Neodiprion lecontei: one gene and its partners. The protein of the gene in region 3 purifies or fractionates together with the protein of the main gene of each other region. This does not show direct contact. Links are inferred from orthologs where the notes say so. Each region holds a gene or a part of one and is shown on either strand. Other genes may lie near its edges. The genes, in order: DNA-directed RNA polymerase III subunit RPC2, DNA-directed RNA polymerase III subunit RPC3, DNA-directed RNA polymerase III subunit RPC8 and DNA-directed RNA polymerase III subunit RPC4.

Region 1 (4,761 bases), on a different chromosome or scaffold from region 3:
TCCGCTAAATCCTCTCACCAATCTACGCTGCAAGTCATCACATCCAGAATATTCTCAAAAAGGTAAGCCAATTAATTAAATCTTTTATCCAACAATTACTCCTCCTTCGGTTCGTTCGATTAGAGCGACAGAATGCCCGTTGCCCGGTGTATTTCAATAATTAATCGGTAATTGGTGACCCAAACTACTGATGTGAGTCTAGCTGTAGCTGTGTGTGAATGTTTCCGGTGTCTTACATCTGGAGATTTCCACTAGGTACCTTTCCGACGTCACACCACCGCGATATCCTAGTCCTACTAAACCATACTGAACTCTATTATGTCATTGTGAACAACCAAGGATTTTATTTTATTGTTAAGTTTGAAAAATTATTATGTTAAAAACTGGTGCGAGGTTGCTGTGTGACTAAATGTAATCAATTCTTTATACCTGGTGGTAATGTTACATTCTTTGTGCAAGTATTTCGACTTGAGGAAGTCTGTAAGTATTTTGAAAGAAACCAGTCCCTGCTTTAATTTTTCCTAATTTAATTATTACGAAATCTCTATCCAATATATCAATATCTTATGTAAAAAAAAATTGGTAAACTTTTCCCAAACATAAGATAATGCAAGAATTCGTAAAGAGATTCAAATAGAATGTGTATGTAGGTTGTGAAAATAAGAGGACAAGCTTTTTTTTGGAATGCTGTACACGGAGCGAGTGAGAGAGTGGTCTTATTTGATACCTCTCACTCGGCTGAAAGCCAGTCCTATCCCTTACCATTGCAGCGAGCCTTCCAGTTATATTAGAGTTCGGTGGTCAATGACGCTTCTATTTGCATCTCTTCTAGGTCTGGAGGGTAGAAGTAAGGAGAATCGACTTATGTGGGAGACAAGTTGAAAAAGTGTCCAGCTGTAAGCTGCAAGTAACAGTTCAAGAACCCACCAAAATAGCGCTAGCGCAGCTAAAGGATATGACATGAATTTAGCAGTTGTAATCGGAGTGAAGTGAGCTGAGTTGAACAATTCAATATTTTTGGTGACTAATGTAGTTAATGAAATCACAGTATACAAAACCTCAACTATTTACGTAGCCCAAAATAATTTAGTGAATATAACCCATAAAACTGCTGTGAGATAACGTGGAGAGTGATTTAATTTTTGTGAATTGTTGATCATACTTTTTAGTGATTTTGTAGTGTGTACTGTTATAAAATTTTTTAAAGTTTGGTCAATAATAGGTAAAGTTTGCATAGTGAAAAGTTGTCCAAGTGCACGAAAAATGAAAAATAAAAAGAATGATGCGCCTCAGTCTCTGTCTTTTTTCCGACCAATAGTATGTAAAATTTGCACATGTAGTTCTCTCAAATTTTGCACATGAACTTCTTTTATTTTTGGAAATTAGTTTATCAAAAAACAAAATTTATGTCAACGTTTCTCCATTTCAATATCATCTTCCATTTAATATTTATCGAATCATTGAGCGCTTAAAAATGTTGCTTTCTTTATTAATGTTTATTTTGAAAAATGTACCATAACAAAGCGGAAATCTTTCTTTCCTTGTTTACTTCTCTATCCAACTCAAATATCTTTTGTTGCTTTCTTCAAAATATACCCTTCTGCTACCGTAACGCCATCTTCAGTTGACATCTTTCGACGCAAGCTTTTTCGTACACAGAGACGGTTCTCCTTATCTCTACCGTCCATACACTTCTGGGGCCGGGCGGCCGGGTAATGAACGGTTGTCGTTAGTATGGCCAAAGCGTGGTCCTTGGTAGATTGTGTCCAATTTTCGGTTGTGCTTTGGTTTGCGATGTCTTTATATTAACACGTAAAATTATAACGATAGAACAGCGATAAAATGGGTGAAATGAAATCGAATGATTACAACAGTCTCAAAAGAGCTGAAAAATTCAGAAAAGTAGCCAAACATATCGAGGTAAAGTACCATCTCAAATATTTGTAGGTTATAACTTGATTTGATGTAATCCTACCTCGCCTAATAATGCAAAACTACAAATGCACTACGCATACCGGGCGGGTATAAATAAACGATTTTAATCGGGTTATTTTCAAGATTTTATTACTCAACAATCTCCGAATTCCAGGCAGAGGCAACTTACGGTCAAACACTGTTATTAATGACTCGATTATGTATATTTTGTTCTGAAATTTCAACAAATTTACCATATTTCTAGAACTTTATATTAAACATTTTCAAATATGTGCCAAAAAAATTGAAAGTTTTTATAAATCTTGAATGTATCTGCTTAGGAAAATATGGGGTGAAATTCGCACTAGTCGCAAGAAATGAAAATCCTTAACCAAGAAATCAGTTATTCATCACTTAGAACTCTAGTGCAATCCTTAAAAAGCCAGACTTTGCCTGTTACTTATTATGTCAATATAACTTGTTTGATGTTGTAGGATAAGTGGAAGCTCGTCCCTGCATTCCTCAAAGGCAAAGGCCTCGTTAAGCAACACATTGATTCGTTCAATTATTTCATTAATGTTGAGATAAAAAAAATCGTCAAGGCAAATGAGAAAGTATTAAGTGATGCTGATTCCTTGTTCTACGTCAAGTAAGTAGTATGACTTATCAAAATCGTGTATAATACAGGATGTCTAGCGACGCCGACTTCCTGGAAAACCGGGAATTTGAAAATGCCCTTGAAAATGTGAGAAATATATGGGAATTTCAAATAGCAATATGGAATTTTTTCATCAAATTGAACATGCATAAAATTTTGACTTAGGTCTAATAATGAAAGTGCTTACTCGAGTCATTTCACATGAAAATCATATATACGAAATATTATACTAGGTGTATAAATTAATTCTCGGCCCCTAGATTAAATTGATTTTACACCTATTTGAATCGAAAAATTTTTCCGTTATATAGGGCGTTTTGAGGCGCCATCTATGAGCTATCAAACCACTTAGTCCGATTGTGGTCCGATTAATCTAACCTCAAAAAACATAGTAAACAAAGATGTCGTTCGACAAGCAGCACTTGAGGCACTGCCTTCTTTTCGTCTTCCAACTTACAAGAAATCACAAGAAATGATTTGTTCGGCCTTGGGAGAGAGTGCTGTATCTTATAGCACATGTAAAACATGGTTTCAAAGTTTCGGGATGGAAATTTTGATCTCCAAGATGAAGATCATCCTGAAAAGCCATAAAAGGTTGAGGACGAGGAGTTGGAGAACCTACTCAACGAAAATCCTTACCAAACGCAAATGGAGCTTGCTCGAAAACTCGAGAGGATACAAAAGGAAGAGCGTTGGGTGCCCCATGATCTTACCCCAGCAAACAAAAGTCGACGCTGTGAAATTCCAATGAGCCTGCTGACCAGATTCAAACAAAAAGACTTTTTACATAAAATTGTGGCTGGGGATGAAAAGTGGATATTGTACGATAATCCTAAGAGACGAAAGTCGTGGGTTTATTCGGGGGAGCCGACAACGAGCACTGCAAAACCAAACATCCACGGGCCAAAATTGTTGTTGTGTAATTGGTGGGATTTCAAAGGTGTAATGTATTATGAGACAATCAAACCAGGGGAAACCATTACTGCTAAGCGTTATCAGGTGCAACTGATGAAATTGAGCGATGCTATCGAGGAAAAAAAACCCTTCAGCGGTAGTGGACCAAGGCAAGTGATTTTGCTGCAGGACAACGTGCGGCCATACACAGCAAAAGAAACCCTGAAAGTTACCTTCACGTTGGGCTGGGAAATTCTCCCTCATGCGGCGTATTCTCCAGACCTTGCACCTTCTGACTATTACCTTTTTCGGGCGCTACAACATCACCTGGTGGATACCCAGTTTCAATCTCCTGAGGAAGTCCGTCAGAGCATTGACGACTTCATCCAGTCAAAACCACCATCTTTCTTTCGAGCCGGGATCCGACAATTGCCCGATAAATGGAAAAAATGCGTGCAAAGTGACGGCGATTATTTTGAAGATTAGATCTGTATTCATTTTTTTATAAATAAATGTCAAAATTGTTGAAAAAAGGCCGAGAATTAATTTATACACCTAATATATTAACTCAATGGCAATCTACATGCAGTGTACGGAATGAACATAAATATGAGAAAAAGTATTTATGTGAAGGTATATTAGAATTTTATCAAGCGAATATTTTTGGTCAAGAAATATTATATCTTGGTACATTTCATACATTGTATGATTGTCAATCGACAACACTCGAGCGAGAATGAACATGCATAAACTCACTCGGCATACGGCACGGTGCCACATCGCAGTTTGCTTCGAGAGCATTACTTAATTTCAGTCCGGACCTATACAGTGAATCGAAGAGTATCAAACAACAGAGTGTCAACAAAAGAAATTGTATGACAAAAAAAAAGCAAAGAAACAAATCGCAAATTACAAGGTAAGTGTTGATTAGCTTTAATCATAGAATTTTGTGACTGTACATTGGCATAACAATATTTAGCCAATTTTGATTGTTCTGTCCTTTCCGAGCCGCTTCTAGGTCGCATAGGCCTCAGATTTTACTCCTCAATGCTAATACCCAAGTGCCAGCAGTTAAAAATACTGATTTGTTTGTTGTTTTTTTTTGCTAATATAAAAAAAAACACCTTTTTTACGTCTAGATTTCTGGCTATATGTATTACATGTGCCATAAATTTATATTATTATTTAATTTCAAATGCATTTCTCTCGTTGTAATTGTTATTTCATTGTAATTGTTATTTTTTTAATGCCGATAAGATGGAAATCTTTATGTGCTTAATATAAAAAAGTTGACA
Region 2 (4,765 bases), on a different chromosome or scaffold from region 3:
GCGGGATCCGGGAGGTTGAGAACCCGGTACTCGAAATACGTAGCGGACCCGAAGCGCGGGATCCGTGAGGTTGAGAACCCGGTACTCGAAATTTGCGGAGCGCGACTCTCATGCGTCCGCTCTACTGCGCGGTTGTGTCCCGACTGAGGAATTCGGCTAGCTGATTTTGAATTGGTGACGTCACTTTCTGAACGTCCGACATCCAAACTATGGTTTCGAACTTTGATACTATGTATGATGATGTATGATGTACGATGTATGATGTATGATGTATGATGATATGATATGATGTATAATGCTTTTAGTCTTCACGTTTCATACAAGAAATACACACTTCATCTCTCCTGCCGATTCCAGACTCAAGCGGCCAGGCCCTTCGATGGTCCGCCGTTGACTGAAGATATATCCTTCAGTTAACGGGTCAGCTAATAACGCAGTCGTTCTGCGATAGTTGGATGATGATTGCGAAGACTGTGTTACTCGGAAAGTGAATGCACCCAGCATACGGCCAGCATCATATCGAAATCGTTAACTCTCCGATGATCTGCAATAAGTTCTCAACTCTACAATTGAAACATCTCAGGGAGCGCAAGCGCACGATGATTTTCGGTTGTCACATCAAATCCCATTGGGGCAACTGTCTACATATTTTTCAGTCAACGTAGGAGGTGTTAGGAGGTGGTTGGAGGTGTTCGGAAATGGTAGGCGGTGGTTGACGCCGGCAGGAGGTGGCAGGGGGTGGTAGGAGGTGTTCGGAAATGGTGCGAGGTAATCGGTGGCAGTTGGGGGTGTTTGGCGGTGGATGCTCCACGCTTCTTGTCACGGGGATGATCGAGCTGATCGACATTTCTTAGTCGCAGTGGACAAGTAGTCTTACGTACTAACTTTGTACCGACTCATTCTCACGCTATCACATCTACACTGCTTTGGCTGCTACGAATGTTGGCGCGTGCCCGTTAGGTAGAGTTGATAGAGCAGAACCCTCTTACGCTCCCAGGTCCACCTGGGCCCACTCGCCCACCGAAAACTGTTCACCAAAATTTACCCAGGGGTATCCGTCTTCATATTCTTTAGTCAACGTTGATAATACGTGAAACTGCTAATACCCCCAAACCTGCCTAAACCCGCCCAATTGCTACAAAAAATAACTCAGAGCTGTGTGTCTGTATATATCTTTAATCAAAGCTGATGTTGCGTCTAACTCTATTTTCGTGATCAAATTCTGTTTAAACTCGAGGCTCTATCAGACAATGTTAGTCACACATTAACTAGGAGTGTATTCCGAAATATACTTGCAGTACTCATAGACATATATGTCTGTGGCAGTTCTGCACGTACTGGCAATCGCGTTCCGAAATCACGCGATAGCGTACTGCCGCCAGTCAGTGACGTCACCAAATTTGTGACGTTCTTGACGCTACTGCGGCTGGGACGTGAGGTAGTTGAAGTACTTGAGAGATGGCCACGTTCTCGGTGTAGTTGGAAAGTAGCGTTCAGATTTTACTGCGACTGGCAATTCGGAGTAAAATCGGAAAGCAGTTCGCAGTTGACTGCGTGACGTCACGGTCGGCAGTACCGAAAGTATATTTCGGAATACACCCTAGAGTTTTTCGAGACTAGGCTAGTGCTGCATGATGTTGGCAGCCTTGAAGTTGTTCATGACCCAAAATTCGGCTACTTTCAGTCGACGCTCATTGTAACCTCAAAACATTCCGATTTATTTAGAGTGAATTTAGGTAAAGCTAAGTTATGTTTGAGGTTAGACCCGTGTTTATACCTCAAGTTTATGTCAAATACTGTATTTAATGTGTGAAACATGTCAATCTACCTTTGTAAATTATGTTCCGTTTTATTGCTGGAACATTTTGGACCTGTCGTGCAAACTGTGGGTGACGATTTACTGAAATACGATCGGAGGTCACTACGAGCTATAAAAGCAGCTGTAAATCTGCCGCTTAACAAAGTACGGCTTCGTCAATTTCAGATAATTTGGAAAGAAAGAACGTATTAATTGGAATTAAATCTTATCCCATTAATCTAAACTCTTCTATTTATATACAGATCAAGGAGGTGATGTGCGTTCTTATAAAGTATGGATTTGTTGAACACAGCAAAAATGATAAACTCAACGAATATATTATTGTTCACGAGCGAATTTTGATGATCCTGCGATATCCAAGGTATCGTGCTCAATGCTTTGATTAAAATAGCTGCAAGTTATATTCGATTTATTGTCCTGTTATTCTTCTCAAACTAAACTTCCTTCAAGGTACATGTTTTTCGTCAAAAGTCTGCTGGGTGACGAAGCTGAAATTATGCTAGAAGAGCTATTAAGACGAGGCTACGAAACAGCTTCGAAAATAATAGTCAAAACTTACCAAAGACTGAAGCAACTATCGAGTGAGCGATTGTTTTTAAAAGATTTATTCAACTCTTCGTTGTTTGATTGCCATATGTACATGTAAATTCTGTAATTTTTGTCAAATCATCAGGTGACCGCCAACAACCGGTGGAAATATTGAAAGAAAAATTTGAGTCACTGGTCAAGCATCAATTTTTAATGCGTTCCATTATTACGCCAGCTGCTCTAGAGGACCCTATAGATTTAAACGTAGAAAAGCTTGACTTTAGTTTCCCAGATCTTAATCTCCTGGCACTTTCTCGAATGGCCAATGGCATCGCAGCAAACCCTGGAGACAATAATATATATTGGCGCATTAATTTCGACAGATTCACTCAAGATATCAGGTAACAATTCAAAAACCGCGAGAAATTATCAACTTGCATGAATAAAGTCATTTGCATTCATTAACTTTCTAATGAGACTGAAGTTAGTAATGTTAGAGTAACCAAATGTTGAAATAAACGTCCACATTTCACAGCTTCATATCAACTGACGGAGTTCAATTTACCAAATACAAGTTTGTCCGTCTGTATTATGGTTTATTAAATTCCAGAAAATTTCAATATTGCAAAATAACGAGTTTTTATGAAACTGCGTTGTTACGATAACGCTAAGAACTTCAACCTCATACTTTATCGTGGTATATTACATTTCAGGGATCAAATCATGGTCTCTGCTATCACTAAGCGTTTTGATGATAATGCCGGAGAGCTAATGAGGCAAATGCTGAATCTAATGTACTTGCGCACAGCTGAGTGGAGGGCAACGTCAAATCCTATACCTTACGTGGAAATAAAGGATGCAGTTAGAAAGTTGAAATATCCCATGTTAATTCAACACCTAGATCAATATTTGTGCCTTATTGGTCAGTAAATTATTTTGATTATTGACCTGATATCAGTCACTGACAACGACCATTCAAATAGCATTATATCTTCAGAATCTTGAATCTCTAATTCCAGAGATATTAAATGAAAAGAAAAAAAAATGAAATCGTGTAATTGCAGAGGAAGATACTTGCCAGTTTTTAAAAAGGGTTGGAGATAGCGGAGGTGGACAGTTTAGCATAAACATGAAACAAGCTTTCACACAGTTAACGTGGACTACTCTGGAGAATATTGTCCTTGAACGATTCGGATCAAAGGCTGCAAGAATATTTAGGTCAGTATTCAACATATTACCAAACAGCACTCATATAACGTGTAAGTAATAAGATGTTCTGTCGCAGATTGGTACGTACAAGAAAATACGTCGAGCAGGAACAGATCCAGCAGTTGGCGATGATACCTGCTAAGGAAGCTAAGCATTTAACGTACACGTTGCTGCAGGAGAATTATATCCATGTACAAGAATTAAAGAAGACGACGGTTTCGAATGCCCCGACAAAAATATTCTTCCTTTTTCACATAGACCTTGATCAGGTTGTCGGAATGGAAATAAGTCACTGCTATCATGCTCTTTATAATACCATACAGCGGCGGGATCACGAAAACACGGTGAATAAGAGGATGATTGAGAAACACTTGCGGGTACAAACGCTCACCAGTAACTTGAAGGAACATGGGGCCACAGAAGAACAGTTAAACGATGTCGGTATTTTGATAGATATAATTAAGTCTTTAACCCGATTTTAAGGAATGCTTATTAAGCTGAAATTGATTTGTTTCCCGTTATATTTACAGATAGCGGAAATGATGACCCCGTCTGAAAAGTTAGAACTGGGCAAAGTACAAGACATAATTAAAAAACTTGGTGCCAGCGAACTACAGATAGATGAAACGTTATTTTTGTTGACAATGTATTCACGGTATCAAGAAAAATAAAAACTTTGATATTCAATCACGTTGTTTGACAATGAGACAAGAATAATGAACAAATTTCATAAAGCCAGTGACCTCGGCGATCCAAGAGAATCTCGAAAGATGACTACCATTGGTAACATAGAGAAAACTAGGAGTGCTTCGATGGCATTCTCGGGATCCAAATATTTTTTTGTTTGTAAGGGCGTTCAAATAAGATTCCAACCCAATGAAATGCTCATAAACATATAAATACATTATACTGTAGATCAAAGCGATGTAAATAAATGAACAAGAACGCTGGTAAGTTTCAAGTAAGTGTGAGAAAATAAATATAACTGTTCAACTGTTCGTTTTATAAATAACCAAGAAGTTTAGTGACTTCATAAATTTCAAGACTTATACGCTATAGTTTCGTTTACGTACCGTTTGTTTTTCGCCAAATCTCGGAATCGTTACATTATTGCATCACGAGCAGACACATCATATTGCGCGCACAGACATATTATTGCAGAAAAACTTTGGCCAATAACTGAAGTAAAAAGGTAATAAAAATAATTTA
Region 3 (7,247 bases):
AAACGATATTTATACACAGCTAAATTTCCCCAAGTAGATCATTAACGAAAACGATCGTATAATATCTACCGAGACGAAACGCCTAAACTTAAGGTGGTATTCTAGTCTAGAACTTTGAAAAAATCGATTTTTTCCCGTGATCTGATACTATGAATTATGGAGAATCAGTGGGTGAAGGATTTTTTCAAAATTCGGCAAATTGGTGACGTTATACCAATTCTAAGCACCGCACTTCACGATAGGAACGCAGATGCGTGCTTCTTCTCAGTCTTAAATCTTGAATCTTGGTACGAGTCCACTTAGTTTGTCCTTTGGGTATTTCAAATCTTAGTTTGGTCTCAGATAACCCATGTCCTCAAAATTTGCGACTCGGGATAATAATTTGAAAATATTCTGTATAATAAAAATTGATAATTATTAAATTTATCCAATTATTAAAACAATAAATTTAATGTTGATTGTGGTTTTAGTTTAATCAATTGGGATGTGCTCAGTCAATAGTGATAGTAAGGCAACAGATAATACTCAGAAACTGTGGAGATTTTTTTTTATTTATAATTATATACCTATATAAGTATATTGACATATAATTTTATGCTATGTTATTACAACTTATACATTGTAAAACAATTGGTAAACCGTATTTGTAAAATTATTTATTTTGACAAACTTACTCTACTCCAAGTCTTCTGTCGTATTGGCATGTTATGTACGCACCAAGTTAGGTAAATACTAAATGAACTGCTATTACAACAGTAATTATAATAAGTGAATAATTTTACTGGATGGCTTATTTGGAGTAAATGGAAATTTTGTGACAACGTAAGAAGCGAATGACAGTTAGCTGCTGGGAAAGTAATAGTATTTGAATATTGAAAATATTTTACGCGTGAAAATATACATTTAAGATAACAAAGAACGTAATAATTGTAAATACCGAAGAGAAAAGGAAATTAATTAAATTTGCAATTTCGTTATGATTCTAAAACGAAACCGATGTGTGTTGTGTTACTTCGTGATGTTTTGCTGATGAAATAATTTGTCGTACGGATAATAAAGAAGATGCTAAGAATAGTAGAACGAGATATTAGGTAAAATAAAAGTATTGTACAAATTGCCTCGTCTCATGGTATACAAACCCTCATTTTATATCACAATTATGAATCGTCCATCCTATACATTCCTCTTTGAACTTTCAACTATTTTCCCACCAAGAGAGAAGTCCAAGGCCTGGCTCATCTATGGCAGCCTGTAATGATCGAATTTATGCATGTTAATGTCTTTCTTCAGGAAAAAAGTTTTAGGATCGTGATTCAACGAAAATAACTTCTTATAAAACTTCCAGTATTGTATAGTACTTTTTAGGTCAATGTGCGAAAAAAATTACATATATATGACAGATTAATAAACCATAAGCTGAATTATTTCAGGTTATTTGATTAAGATTATTTCCACAAGAGACATTATCGTGTATTAATTGTGAATTCAAGGTGAACGATGTTTCTTTAAAACCGTGTAAAATCATACAGAAATCACACGACTCATTTAAGTACGTTTTTGTAGAAATACTTTGATAAATGCACGGTTAGTCTAATTCTAGCACAGTTTTATGAAGAAAAAAATCGCAGTATCATAAAAAATTGCAGGGTACTTCTGACTCTCGATAACTTCTTCCTGGATAATTTTCCGCTTATCGTTAAACTGCCTTCTCTATGAACGGGCTCCACGTATAGAAATAAATTTATCTAGAGACTGAGGAAAAACTAATACCAAGGCTAAAAATTTTATGATTTTGTAAAAATCTATTTCTTATAGTATTCGACATTTTTTGAACTCAAAATATAGAAGTAATGAATAACGTGAAGAAAGTATCATCCATTTTAGGTTTATTAAGTTTTTCCTATTAAAACTTTTATTTTATGGAACTTTTTTATGATGAATTTCGATTCATTTCTGAAGCATTTCTTTTTGCGTGAAAATCCTGTCCGTTTCGTCCCATTTTCTCGCCATCATTCGGGTTTCCCCAAATGCATTGCCTGCACCGCGGTTACAGTAGACTAATCAGGATGAAAATAGCCTTCGTAATATTGTCCCCCTCAAAGTAGACCGAGAATAAGAAGTTATGGAAAGTTTACTGTACGGAAAAAAGTCTGCGCAGATTTTCCTTTTCCGGCATAGTTGACGAAATCGCCCATGGCCAGATAATTAGATGGTTCCTACCAGTTATTGTATGACCAGCAATTTTTTACGTAACGACAGGTGTGATTTGACTCATTTATTTAAACAAAATATACGTACGCTGAGAGTGTATGGCGAAGTTAAATTCACTTCAGATTTTTCAACAGTTTCGGTGCTAACAGACGGACCAACGGGTGATGTTTCAATAAAAGTTTCATTCACGATTCTAAACCGTATACTTTCACCTGAAAAAATCAATAGAGGTATTATTTGTACTTTGTATTTCGATAATAAATCATAAATATTCCACGTAAAGTTGCACTTATGATATATATAGCGTGCTCTACGGGGATATTTTTACGTAAATAAAGTATGTTTCATTCTACCTATAAATAAGTACAGGTACTCTTAAAATGGACCTAGGTACAAGTAGAAGGTACTTGCTAAGGAATGTACTTAGGTATAAAAGAGGTACTTGTTCCTAGATACTTTACAACACTCTCGATATTCCAGTGTTCTTGGAACATATCATTTTCCTCAGAGCTATGGTTAGAGCGGAAAATCGATATCAAAAAGGTGAAACTGATTCATAATATTTTTCTGTGTACGTTTTAATAGCATCGATCATATTACTTCAGTAACCACTGAGGGAAGATCATCGAGTAAGGATCACACTGACAAGGGTAGATTATACTAGACCTTAATGGATTGACGTAAATCTTACCAGCATCCATAAATAAGTCATGCTTATCTCCATCTCCAGTATCATATTCCCAAACCCATGCTTGCTCAGTTTGATCAAATCTTGAAGGATGTTGTAGCTTATGAGGAGGGATAATTATGTCTTCAAAAAATCCCAAAGTGACTAAATAATAAAAATATTTGTACAACAATATATTAATAGAATTCATGTTGCACAGCGTGAAAAAGAATGGATGTAATTTGCTGTGACATTTTACTACTAGATCTATTGGTTTCAATGTAGCATGAGGGTGAATAATTTTTCATTGATAAAGCGTCAAAAAATCGTAGAAACATTAAAGAATAAATGTAAAAAAAAAATACTGGTTCTGTCTGGAAATACGGTTTAAAATACTTCTAGGACTTATAATGGAACTCTCTCTTCATTTCACAATTCTTTGAATCTAATTAATAATACCCAACTGTTCACAGTTTTGCGAGGATCTTCCATGTTTTGAATGTACAAAATTACAAGTTCTAATTTTAATTTTCTCAACTACAGGATTATAAGCTGATAGTATTAGTTGTTTCGAGCATATCGTGAAAGGCTTGCCACGTGAAAATGTAAACACTCCAATGGGAGCACCAAGCGTAGATTTAGTCATAATACCTTCCTTGAAATATTGAAAATGAAGAAGTACAGCAAGCATAATTATAGAATGGAATCACGATCACGTCGAGAACATATCAAAAACAACAAATCGTAATCAAATCTTGCCAGGAAAACGATAGATAATAAAGAGACTAGGTAAATCATGTATGTTGTGCAAAGAAAAATTATTTATTTATTTGACAGACACTGAGGTCTCCTACAAAATTGCCCATGAATTATACATCGGCTCAGCAGTGTAAAAGTAAAAAGACATATAGGTCATGGTTCTGGTTTGCTAGGGAAGTAATTTCATGAATTATTGGAAGATCAGCCTGAATCGAGACATAAGATAAATGTTGTGTTACACCTGCAGTTGCATATTAAGTATAATATGTGCAGTACGGTACAGCAGAAAAAAAAATTATGGAAATACTTTATGTCAACATCCTTACAAAAAGTTTGGTTTTCGACGCATGTTTAACGTGTAGAAAGTCGTTAATTTTTAAGTTGTACAGGAATAATATTTGTGTTATAAGTGTGGGATTGGGCGATTTTCAATGAGTCGGAAGGTTGCAAACCGGATTTAGTAGAAAAAAAATTATCTTAGCAGTGATGTACTGGAAGACTTCTTAGTTTGATTACCATCTTCCATTTCAATATCGCAAGTTGATTTGAAAAAAAAAATTCAACAGCCAAAAACTCGATAATACCAAGTACTTTAGCTGACTTACTTAAAATTTAGAACAGAAAATAAACTTGAGGTAAAGATATACTGATGGACTTTTTGAATCCAAGATACATTCCAATTTCAGCAATCTCAACACAGGTATTTCAACTACATATGTGCTAATGATTCTGTTTCATTTATTCAAATGATTTAAATTAATTGAAATCTCAATTTCCAAGTTCGAAGCCTCGTCTTTAATCACGAGTGATAACATATACTTAATTCATTTGTGTCACGATTTAGAGTTACTTATTTTTCGACAAAACTATCATACTTTAAAAGAAGATATGCAATTATTGGAAACTCAGTAATTTCGGGACGTTTCCCAGACTTGGATGAATTAAAATATTTACCATGTACACCATCAGCACTGCAGCTCCGAATCTTTCCAACAAGAATCTCTTCAACGAATGGTCTGAACACGATAAAGCGAAAGGTCACTTTTGTGTGAGAAGAACCATCTCCAGGAAAAATGTAAGAATCTTCAATACGAGTCATATCATGTAAAGCAATACACAGGCCCACGTTGTGATATACCTGAAATTAACGATACCATATTAATACAGTTAGTAGACGTTAGGAATCAACAGTCAATTTGGTTCCTTTAATTTTATTAACCTAATAATCTGTTCACTGTTTACTGTAAAACATTTCAGTAAAATAATCGTGTTATAAGAAGAACATAAAGCCCACAATATACCAGGAATTTGTTTATCTGCTTTACAAATTTGTACTTCAGTAGAAGATCGATTAGATTGTAATTTCCAAGAATTCACCTACCTTATTAGCTAGTTTTCTGTTCAGCTCATCAGCAATAGCATCGTTCAATTTTCGCTTAAACATCCACGGACGAATTCGAACATTGTCTTCAAATTCGGCAAGTACAAACATCTTGGCGTCGAACTCCTGAGTTCAACTCACATAACCTATTTTTGTTTTGTTATTGACCACCAAGGCGCGTCCATGGAACTCGTCTTTTCTCCATGCTTGAAAAGAAACGGGTAAAACCACGGTCTTGCATACTGGCTGGAAACTCCATTGGGGGGGGGGGGGCAGATCGCTTATTGAAGCCATTTTTGTGTTCACTAGTAGTCGCCACCAGGTTCGTTGCGATCTTGGCCGTGATCGAAAATTGACTGCCAGTACTGTCAGCAATCTTTTATCTCTTTTGCGCTGCTGAGTTCATGGACAGCTCTGTCTCTGTCCTAGGGAATTTTTAGTACTGGCAGTCAATTTACGAACACGAGGGGGGGGGGTCCACACAAGCCGTGGATTCGCACATATACATATATGCTATTCACCCACTCATCGTGGGTATGTTCCGATATACACTGCGAGCACTGTTCAGTGCTCTTACTGGGGAGAAATTCGTTCCGTTATAGACGGACAGTATACAGTCGCAGTATCCTAGGGAAATATATGACGTCATAAATCGTCGCCATTTTTCTACTGTGAACACCGGTGCTTTCGAGGTAAGGTGCTCTCAGTGCTTTGATCACGTGATCAACAGCGTTCAGAAATTTAACAGCTTCCACTATTGATAATTATTATTAATGAATATTGACATTTAAAAATACCGGCCGTTAAAAACAAAAATGGAAAATTTGAATAAATTGTGTTTATTGCAATGTGAAACAAATATTATGTATGAAATGAAAGTAACGCCAAAAAATGTCGATCACAGTATACTGTACTGCGTTCCGTTTTAAGCAGTATCCAGTATAGCTAACTATACAGGAACGGCTTCGCAGTATACTAAATTGACGACACACCTTACAGTGCTCGCAGTGTATATCGGAACATACCCCGTATTTATTGAGGTTATTCTTATCCTGGTAACTAGACCGCAGCGACAACTGGTAGTCCCGCTAGAATAGAGATTTTCTCTTGGTAAAGCGACGCGAATAATCGTGGCTCCCAGCATAGGGGTTTCAGACCTGTATGTAAGACCGTGGGGTAGAATATTATTGATGATGTGGCGGTTAACTGAAGAATATAAAGACAGTTGCCCAAATGAGCTTAGGTGTGACAACCAAAAATCGTCGAGCGCTTGCGCCCTCTGAGATGTTCCAACGGTAGAGTTGAGAACTTATTGCAGAACATCAAAGAGTTACCGATTTCGACATGATGCCGGCTGCATTCATCTTCCGAGTAACACTGTCTTCGCAATGGCAAGCCGAAGCCAGTACTTGGCCTGTGTGTACTTACCGACTTGTCGGTAATACAAGAGATTAATAATGAGAATGAATTTCTTCCAAAATTCTAGCAGCGCATTGATTTAATTGAAGTATAGGTATCCGAGAGAAGAATTTATACATAGATCATGAATAATAATAGATCAGATGTAATAATGATGCAGACAGCAAGAAGTATTATGCGGTCCACGTACGATATTAATACAGGATGTCCCTAAATTGGGGACACGGACCAGCCAGCGTGATACCTGACTCAAATCCAACCGAGAATTTCTTTGCCGCAAGCTCGTCCGACGCATAGTTTTTGAATTATAAGCGATAGCGTTAGGCCAATCAGAGTGCACCATTTCATCTGGATTTGCCGCCACGAAAATTGCTGTTTTGTTCGTCTGGGTGAATTATTATTATTCGTTTACGAATTAAATATCGGCACCACCCCTCTCGCCCTGTTGTACCGATTCACGACCGCTGACCTCGGTATTGTTGCCGCGGCACACGTTGCCGGCCGCACACCCGAGGACGCACACTCGTGTGGGTGAAAATAAGCGAATGCCCAGCTACACAATACTACGAAACACACATCTACGAGTGAAAATAAAAATAAATTTCCAGATAAATCAGCGGATTTAAGATTTAATGTTATAAAATACTTCCAATCATCGATGTATGCATAAAACTAGAGATTTTAGACGATTGATATGCCGTTAGAGTTCATAATTAGTCATTCAATCAATCTGAATTATGCTTTCCGAAAATTTTTTGTGTCTTTGCAACATAATTTTTCCACTAGTTTTAACTTCATCATTGACATCCG
Region 4 (6,434 bases), on a different chromosome or scaffold from region 3:
CACACGGGTGGAAAATGGAGTCCCTGGTGGGACAGGCGACGCCGATTGTCGCTACGTTCGTTTTATTATAGCTGGTGGATCCGTGTCGCTGATCGTAGACAAAACGATCGGCCACGGAGCTAGAGGGTCGAATTGGTTTTCAGGACTCCGAGGGGACTCTATAGACGCGTGATAGAATAGCGAGGGGCCAACTCATCTGGATCCTCGACACTCTATATCGCAGCTCTTTACGTCCGATCTTTTTTCTTTTTCATTCCTCTCGACAAATTCACGGCCGGTTATATATCACGTACGTACGTACCGATTATTTTTATTACGAATAGAAACGTGCGGAAGGGCGTTCGCTTCACATGCCCTATATTACTGCAGCGCATCACGATCACGTGTGATTTATTGCAAGTCAACTTTTCACGGCTACTGATGATATAAATAGACATATATATATATATACATACCTATATAGATATACATATAACGCTGAGATTAACGTTCGTCATTTTTCTTGTCTAGAGTCACTTGTTATATTTCCGCTACACAGACGCAGTCCCCTGAAACCTGTAGCTGATGATCGCGTAATGCGGGATCACCGACTGAATTTCTATCATGTGTCTTTTAATAAGAATAAAAAATTCATCGAGTATAAGTTCAAATTAGGAATAACGAAAATTTTCATACAGAACGTCATTCTTATTCAGAAACGATTGTTAATCAATTCCGCAATCGTGTTGGCGTTGGACTTAAAATCTGATAGTTAGATTGTTGTAAACTCGTGTTATTGTTACATAAGCAACCGTTAGTTTCTGATTTGAATTTTGGAACGTAATAAAACTTGAGTAATATGAACAACAGGACGACTGGAATAAAACCGGTATTACAATTTCTCGTAGCACGAAAACGTATGCATTTTAGTCATGAAATTTAATTACCACAGTGTCTGCGAAATCCTAGAAACTCGGATGCAAATATACCGTATACTAAGGTTTATTCTGTAATCTGAGAATTTTGCATCCACCTTTCCAAATTTTGAAATTCTGAGGTAAGAATCGAATGTAAGTCACCCGAATGATCTGAGTTTACAATTATAGACACAGTCAATTGCAATAACGGAATTTCACCTCTGAAAATTTGAAAAATTTGAGAAAAAGCATTCCAAAGTTTTACGGTAAGTATGTCAACACCCGATATAATGGATTTCAAAACAGTCGTCAAATAACTGTCGCATGGACCAGAGACGCTGCTCGATCGTATCGCACTCAATGCTGCAAGACTATTCCTTAGAAGTTTGATATATTCTTGTAACTTCACACGGAACCCGTCACACCTTTGTTTTAACGATTAGGCCAGCGATATATTGTAATATGTATTACCGTCCGCACGTCAGGAATGCGCATGCAAAAGCATGGCTTACATGATTATAGGTATACAAACTACTGTACACGTATACACACGTGCTATGTATACAGACCACGAAGAATACTTCAAATTAGATAACGCTGCACGTTTCGCGCGGTGGCGCAGAGAATTATCTTTCAAGTTCCATAACACCGGAGACGGGGTAATAATATTTCTCATTTTTCTCATTCTGCATTGTTTACAATGCATGCATAAGATAACCTGCAGTTGGTAGACATATACAGCCAGTATCCACTATCCAATATCCACTCAACTTGAATCTCGTTGCCGACCTTTGCCGAGCTAATATATCATATAACAGCCAACCTGGACATAGATCCTCCAATGCAATATATATGTGTATTATATAAAAGTATTACCAGCGAAGCAAGAAAGGTCACGTCCTGAGGGTATAATTTGAAAAATAGAATCGAGGTAAGTTATACTGACTTGTGTGAAATACGATTTCAAAAATAATGGAAAAGCATGCAGTTGGTAGGAGAACGAAAATAATTATACTACATCAATTTTTCATTGAGTCTTCGATATTTTATGCCAGTAAATTGCTTCAGGAAAGAAATATTCTACTATGTACTACGAATAAATTGAAACCAGGCCTAGTAATAGAAACATATTTTTCAAATTACAATGCAAATTTTTTGAATCGCATAGCCGTGTGAATAAAGATTAATTTTGTCAATGCGCAGGTATATTGAACTTTTGTTTGCCAATGGAGTGTAAAGCATACACTGTGTAAAAGTATTGATATTAGATCAGCTTCGACAATTCTGCAAAGTTCAAAAACCATCCCATCAAATACAGTATGCAACAAACCAAACGCACCTGTCCTTTTTACTTTCTGTAGTAAACTATTCCAATTTTTCCTACACAATGAAACCAATAGCAACTTAAGTCACCGATGAAAAATCAAGCCCTCGCAGTTAGAGACATAAGTTTACTAAGAACCCAAAGTGAAACAATGAGTTCTACTTAATTGTTAACTCGTAAAATATTTATTTTGTTGTGAGGTCAAGTACTTGATATTATTTTCAGCAAGATTAATTTTAGTACGTTTAAAAACTACATTTGGAAAAATAAACTATGTTCGATGTAGATATGTTTTCCATACGGAAAATTTATATTTAAACCATTAAATAAGTTTAAAGATCGTAGATTACTGGAATGTACACGATTGCGAAAGAAGTATTGCAGCACCCTTGTATTTCAGAAGCATATAAAAATCATTTGCCAATAATTATTGCGCATATTTCAGAATGATAATACAGTGATAATAACCATAAATCGAGCGAACTCAATCGAAATAATTCTGTACTCCCATTAAGCGCAGAACTTCGTTTACTTCGAACTGATATCATTAAGAAGTTGTAAATCTCTTTTATCTCTAGCGTGTCAAAGCGTAAGGACAGTTTGTAAATTTCGCACTCGTTAAAAAATGACAGATCGTCCATGTTCCGATTGGAGGACGACAGGCCAATCAACATTCGTCCGCTCGGTCGGTATACAACACACATGTGTAGGCAACTGTACGTATGCACACGTGCCCCACAGACGCCTGGCCTAACAATAAGTCTAAACAAATAAACTATTCTAGTGGACAGTGGCTAATTTCAACTGTCGCAGACTTAAATATTTTCTATTATAACATAACGGCAGTACATCACTATATTTGGTAAACAGATCAGCATTGGATTTTGAACCAGTCCGAGTCAACACGCCGAATACACGTTATATCCAATTTTAGGTTAGCTTGAGTAAGGATATGTTACTATCGCAAACGGCTATTTGAGTGAAAACGCAATCGATTAATATTATTTTTCAGGTAACTTGTATCTTGGATTAATAGCGTGAGAGAATGTCAGTTAATTTAGCAATTAAATTAACTAAATTTACTGAAATTCTCTAGTACTATCAGCGTAGATTTACTCGTCATGCCATAAAACTGCTTGACTGCTTTTATTTCTTTGTTTTCTAGTTTTATATAAACTGAACTGTTATCCAGGTTCATGACTGACTTTTAATTGGATTTCCTTTAGAAATGGACTCGGATAAATCAAAAAACAGCAGAGAACTGGATCCAAAAATAAAGATCAAAGTAGAACCGGGTACATCAGGATCAACGGTGTTAACAAATGTGAAAATTGAGGCTGGACTACCTTCTACGAGGCTTACTTCATTTAGATCGCCACGAGATTGGACACTAGGCGGGCATGTGAAACTAGAAAAACCAAAAAAACTGTATACTCCAAACTTGAACGTACAACGAAATAAAGCTAAAGAGTAAGCAGGAATCACATTTATACTATTGTTATCAAGGCATCATAGATGTAGTAATCTGTTTTACTTTGCAGTGATCACACTACTGTAAAAAATAATACTAAAGTTCCAAGAGAAAGAGGCCGCGGAAGAGGACAAAGTACAAGAGGTAGAGGCAAAGGAAAAGTCTCGGATAACATTATCCAGGTTAGGTTATCTTTGTTAATCAGAAGTTGGATTACAGTGTTCAAACATTCATGGTTGATTTTTTGTATATATGTACTCTTTGCAGACTGACGGAGTATTCTCCAGTGGTATAGCAGATTCTTCACGAGCCAAAAAAAGATTCAGTAGTTACAGAGATGGTAGCAATTTGAGCGGCAATCGAAGTGCCAGTACTGTTTTAGAAAAACAAAAATTAAATTTAAACCAGAAGATTGATAAAGCTGAAGAAGAAGAGAAACTCAAGCACCTGCTTCGAGATGATTTTATCGAAAATGGAGCTGTACCAGATATGGAAAATGCACCAGTGATGCTACCTATGGCTGATGATGGTCAGTATCAAACCTATTTTAATTAGCCTTCATGCAAGTTTGATGAGACAACTAAACTTCTGTCACTTTTTTTTTGTTCATTTATCATTCCAGCACAGTTATACAAGAAAGAATTCAAGGAAGAACCCCAAGTAATAAAGGCTGATGGATTAGATGAAGATGTGAAACCAGTAATCTTAGAAAACGGAAAAGGTACGTCACAAAAATTATTTTGTAGGAGTTTCCAGATCTATGGAATAAAAAATCTTCAAACAAATGGCAGAAGTAAAATACTTACGGACTGCACATCGATTTGAATCATCAAATTTTAAAGTTCTTAAATTAATTAATTTCTTAATCATAAAATTTGGACTGATTGAAGTACTTCAAATTTTTTCAGTATTGAAACAAATAATCTTCTAAGAGGAAAAAAAATTATGTCGTGCATGATTACTGTCATTCATTACGAAACGTTGCAATAATAATTAATTCTTAAAATTTTCCATTCTTTCCAGTATCAGAAGAACATAACACAGCAAAAACTTCGTTACCGAAGAAATCGCTAACAGAGGAGAAAAAACTTATCACTATTCCACAAATTGTTGCAAACGAAGCAAATAATTACATTTTACTACAGGTACAACCGATGAAATTTTTTTTTTTTTTTTCACTTTGCACAGATATGCCTTGGACTGAACCTTATCCTGTGGCGTAAATTATACGTTGTACTTTACAGTTTCCCGATTGCCTACCTGGACTTAAAACAGATGATGAATTGAGTGATCCAAAAGCGAGAAGAACAACCGATTTAGGTTCAGCAAATCCTAGTGATATCAATCCCAAGACTGAATACTGTACGCTGAAAAACTTGAAGGAAGGAATGCTAGGGAAATTACAAATACTAAAATCTGGACAAGCGAGACTTGTTTTAGGGGATAACAAATTAATTGTAGATGTGGGCTCGCACATCAGTTTCAGACAAGTAAGTTCAAGTGAAAAAATTCTGTGATCTTATCAACGTCATCATGTGGGTAAAGGCGTGCATTTGTTGAAACTTTTCTTTTGTTTCAGGATCTAATCGCTGCCAAATTGGACCTTGAAAAACTTGAAGGCGAACTTATTAACCTTGGCTCAGTCAGCAGTACCCTTATTTGCTTACCCGACTGGGAATCAATGTTAGATAATCTTTGAACTTATGAGAAAAGCAAATTTCAATTGTTTTAACTTATTAATTGTACTAGATATTATTCTGGCTGTTGTAAAAATTAAACGAAATCTGAAATTCGAAGCCCTCTCTTGCGTGGGATATCGCAATTGAAGTACTCTTTAAAAAAATCGCAAGTTCATGAAAATCATATTCCATAAAAAAAAAACTCATAAAATATAGTGCGGAAACATTGGGTGATAAAATTGAGGCCCCGTAAATTTTTTCCTTGTATTATTAAGTTAATTATTTCACATCTCAACTAAAATTTCTAGTGATAATATGATATTTATGTATTTAAACGTGGAAAAAAAGTTACAAGTTTTTCTTAGTTGAAACAGTTTTTATTTCACGGACACGCGATTCATACGATTTCACAATGTTAGGTATGCTCTTCGATTGTCACACATCCTTTCACATGTCAACTTAATTTACAAATTAATTGATTATTTCACACTGCATGGTATGAACACTTTTTGGCAATCAGAAACGTAAAAAAAACTTTTACCTCTAGTTTGAATTTCTGATTGCATGAGAATTACAACAAAAAACGAGTTGTAAAATTACTAGCATAGATACAATCAACTATTGTAAGTTTTAGTTTTAGTTTTTTATGGTACTTTTTTTTTATAAATACCAAATTATTTTTTAATGGTAATATCAAAGAAGTTGCCTCAAAAATTGCAACCGCAGTCTGTTAAAATACAAAACCGTTAATTATCAGTTTTGTTTGTTGGATCGGGTGAATCGTTACTTTGGCATAGCCAACCTAAGAAATAACAGCCTATAATTATTTGAAATACGCCAACTTCTCTGACATTATCTTGCATGAATTACGCACAATCCATTTAGTCACTTTGTTCAATACTGTGTCCTTTCTTCATAGATTTCAAGGCTTTTTCGCGTAGTTTTTTTTCGAGTTCTTCCGTGTTCCCCTCACTTGCATCCGATTCTTCAGACTCTACAGCCTTCTTTTTTTTATGCTTACGATGTTTCTTATGCTTTTTGTGTTTTTTGTGCTTTTTATCTTT

Evidence for each region.
Region 1: the proteins of DNA-directed RNA polymerase III subunit RPC8 (region 3) and DNA-directed RNA polymerase III subunit RPC2 purify together in Homo sapiens (affinity purification with mass spectrometry; 8 studies listed by BioGRID and IntAct, with this or other methods). This does not show direct contact. The link is inferred for Neodiprion lecontei from reciprocal best matches to the Homo sapiens genes POLR3H and POLR3B.
Region 2: the proteins of DNA-directed RNA polymerase III subunit RPC8 (region 3) and DNA-directed RNA polymerase III subunit RPC3 purify together in Homo sapiens (affinity purification with mass spectrometry; 5 studies listed by BioGRID and IntAct, with this or other methods). This does not show direct contact. The link is inferred for Neodiprion lecontei from reciprocal best matches to the Homo sapiens genes POLR3H and POLR3C.
Region 4: the proteins of DNA-directed RNA polymerase III subunit RPC8 (region 3) and DNA-directed RNA polymerase III subunit RPC4 purify together in Homo sapiens (affinity purification with mass spectrometry; 6 studies listed by BioGRID and IntAct, counting the BioPlex papers as one, with this or other methods). This does not show direct contact. The link is inferred for Neodiprion lecontei from reciprocal best matches to the Homo sapiens genes POLR3H and POLR3D.

What each region holds. Positions count from the first base shown.
Region 1 is NC_060260.1:21,914,735-21,919,495, forward strand, and holds the start of DNA-directed RNA polymerase III subunit RPC2, read left to right. Parts: upstream 1-1,744; 5' UTR 1,745-1,842; coding exon 1,843-1,920; intron 1,921-2,408; coding exon 2,409-2,563; intron 2,564-4,761. UniProt on the Homo sapiens protein: Catalytic core component of RNA polymerase III (Pol III), a DNA-dependent RNA polymerase which synthesizes small non-coding RNAs using the four ribonucleoside triphosphates as substrates.
Region 2 is NC_060265.1:6,940,899-6,945,663, forward strand, and holds DNA-directed RNA polymerase III subunit RPC3, read left to right. Parts: upstream 1-1,559; 5' UTR 1,560-1,816; coding exon 1,817-1,963; intron 1,964-2,061; coding exon 2,062-2,180; intron 2,181-2,269; coding exon 2,270-2,400; intron 2,401-2,492; coding exon 2,493-2,748; intron 2,749-3,060; coding exon 3,061-3,269; intron 3,270-3,411; coding exon 3,412-3,565; intron 3,566-3,632; coding exon 3,633-3,993; intron 3,994-4,086; coding exon 4,087-4,227; 3' UTR 4,228-4,243; downstream 4,244-4,765. UniProt on the Homo sapiens protein: DNA-dependent RNA polymerase catalyzes the transcription of DNA into RNA using the four ribonucleoside triphosphates as substrates.
Region 3 is NC_060262.1:18,917,736-18,924,982, forward strand, and holds DNA-directed RNA polymerase III subunit RPC8, read right to left. Parts: upstream 5,272-7,247; 5' UTR 5,130-5,271; coding exon 5,019-5,129; intron 4,776-5,018; coding exon 4,592-4,775; intron 4,185-4,591; exon of another isoform or gene 3,044-4,184; coding exon 2,903-3,043; exon of another isoform or gene 2,424-2,902; coding exon 2,299-2,423; exon of another isoform or gene 1,250-2,298; coding exon 1,196-1,249; 3' UTR 531-1,195; downstream 1-530.
Region 4 is NC_060260.1:24,686,187-24,692,620, forward strand, and holds DNA-directed RNA polymerase III subunit RPC4, read left to right. Parts: upstream 1-1,803; 5' UTR 1,804-1,827; intron 1,828-2,917; exon of another isoform or gene 2,918-3,232; intron 3,233-3,446; 5' UTR 3,447-3,448; coding exon 3,449-3,690; intron 3,691-3,761; coding exon 3,762-3,873; intron 3,874-3,958; coding exon 3,959-4,220; intron 4,221-4,313; coding exon 4,314-4,412; intron 4,413-4,714; coding exon 4,715-4,836; intron 4,837-4,935; coding exon 4,936-5,181; intron 5,182-5,270; coding exon 5,271-5,390; 3' UTR 5,391-5,893; downstream 5,894-6,434. Other genes in the region: serine/arginine repetitive matrix protein 1, read right to left, coding at 6,252-6,434. UniProt on the Homo sapiens protein: DNA-dependent RNA polymerase catalyzes the transcription of DNA into RNA using the four ribonucleoside triphosphates as substrates.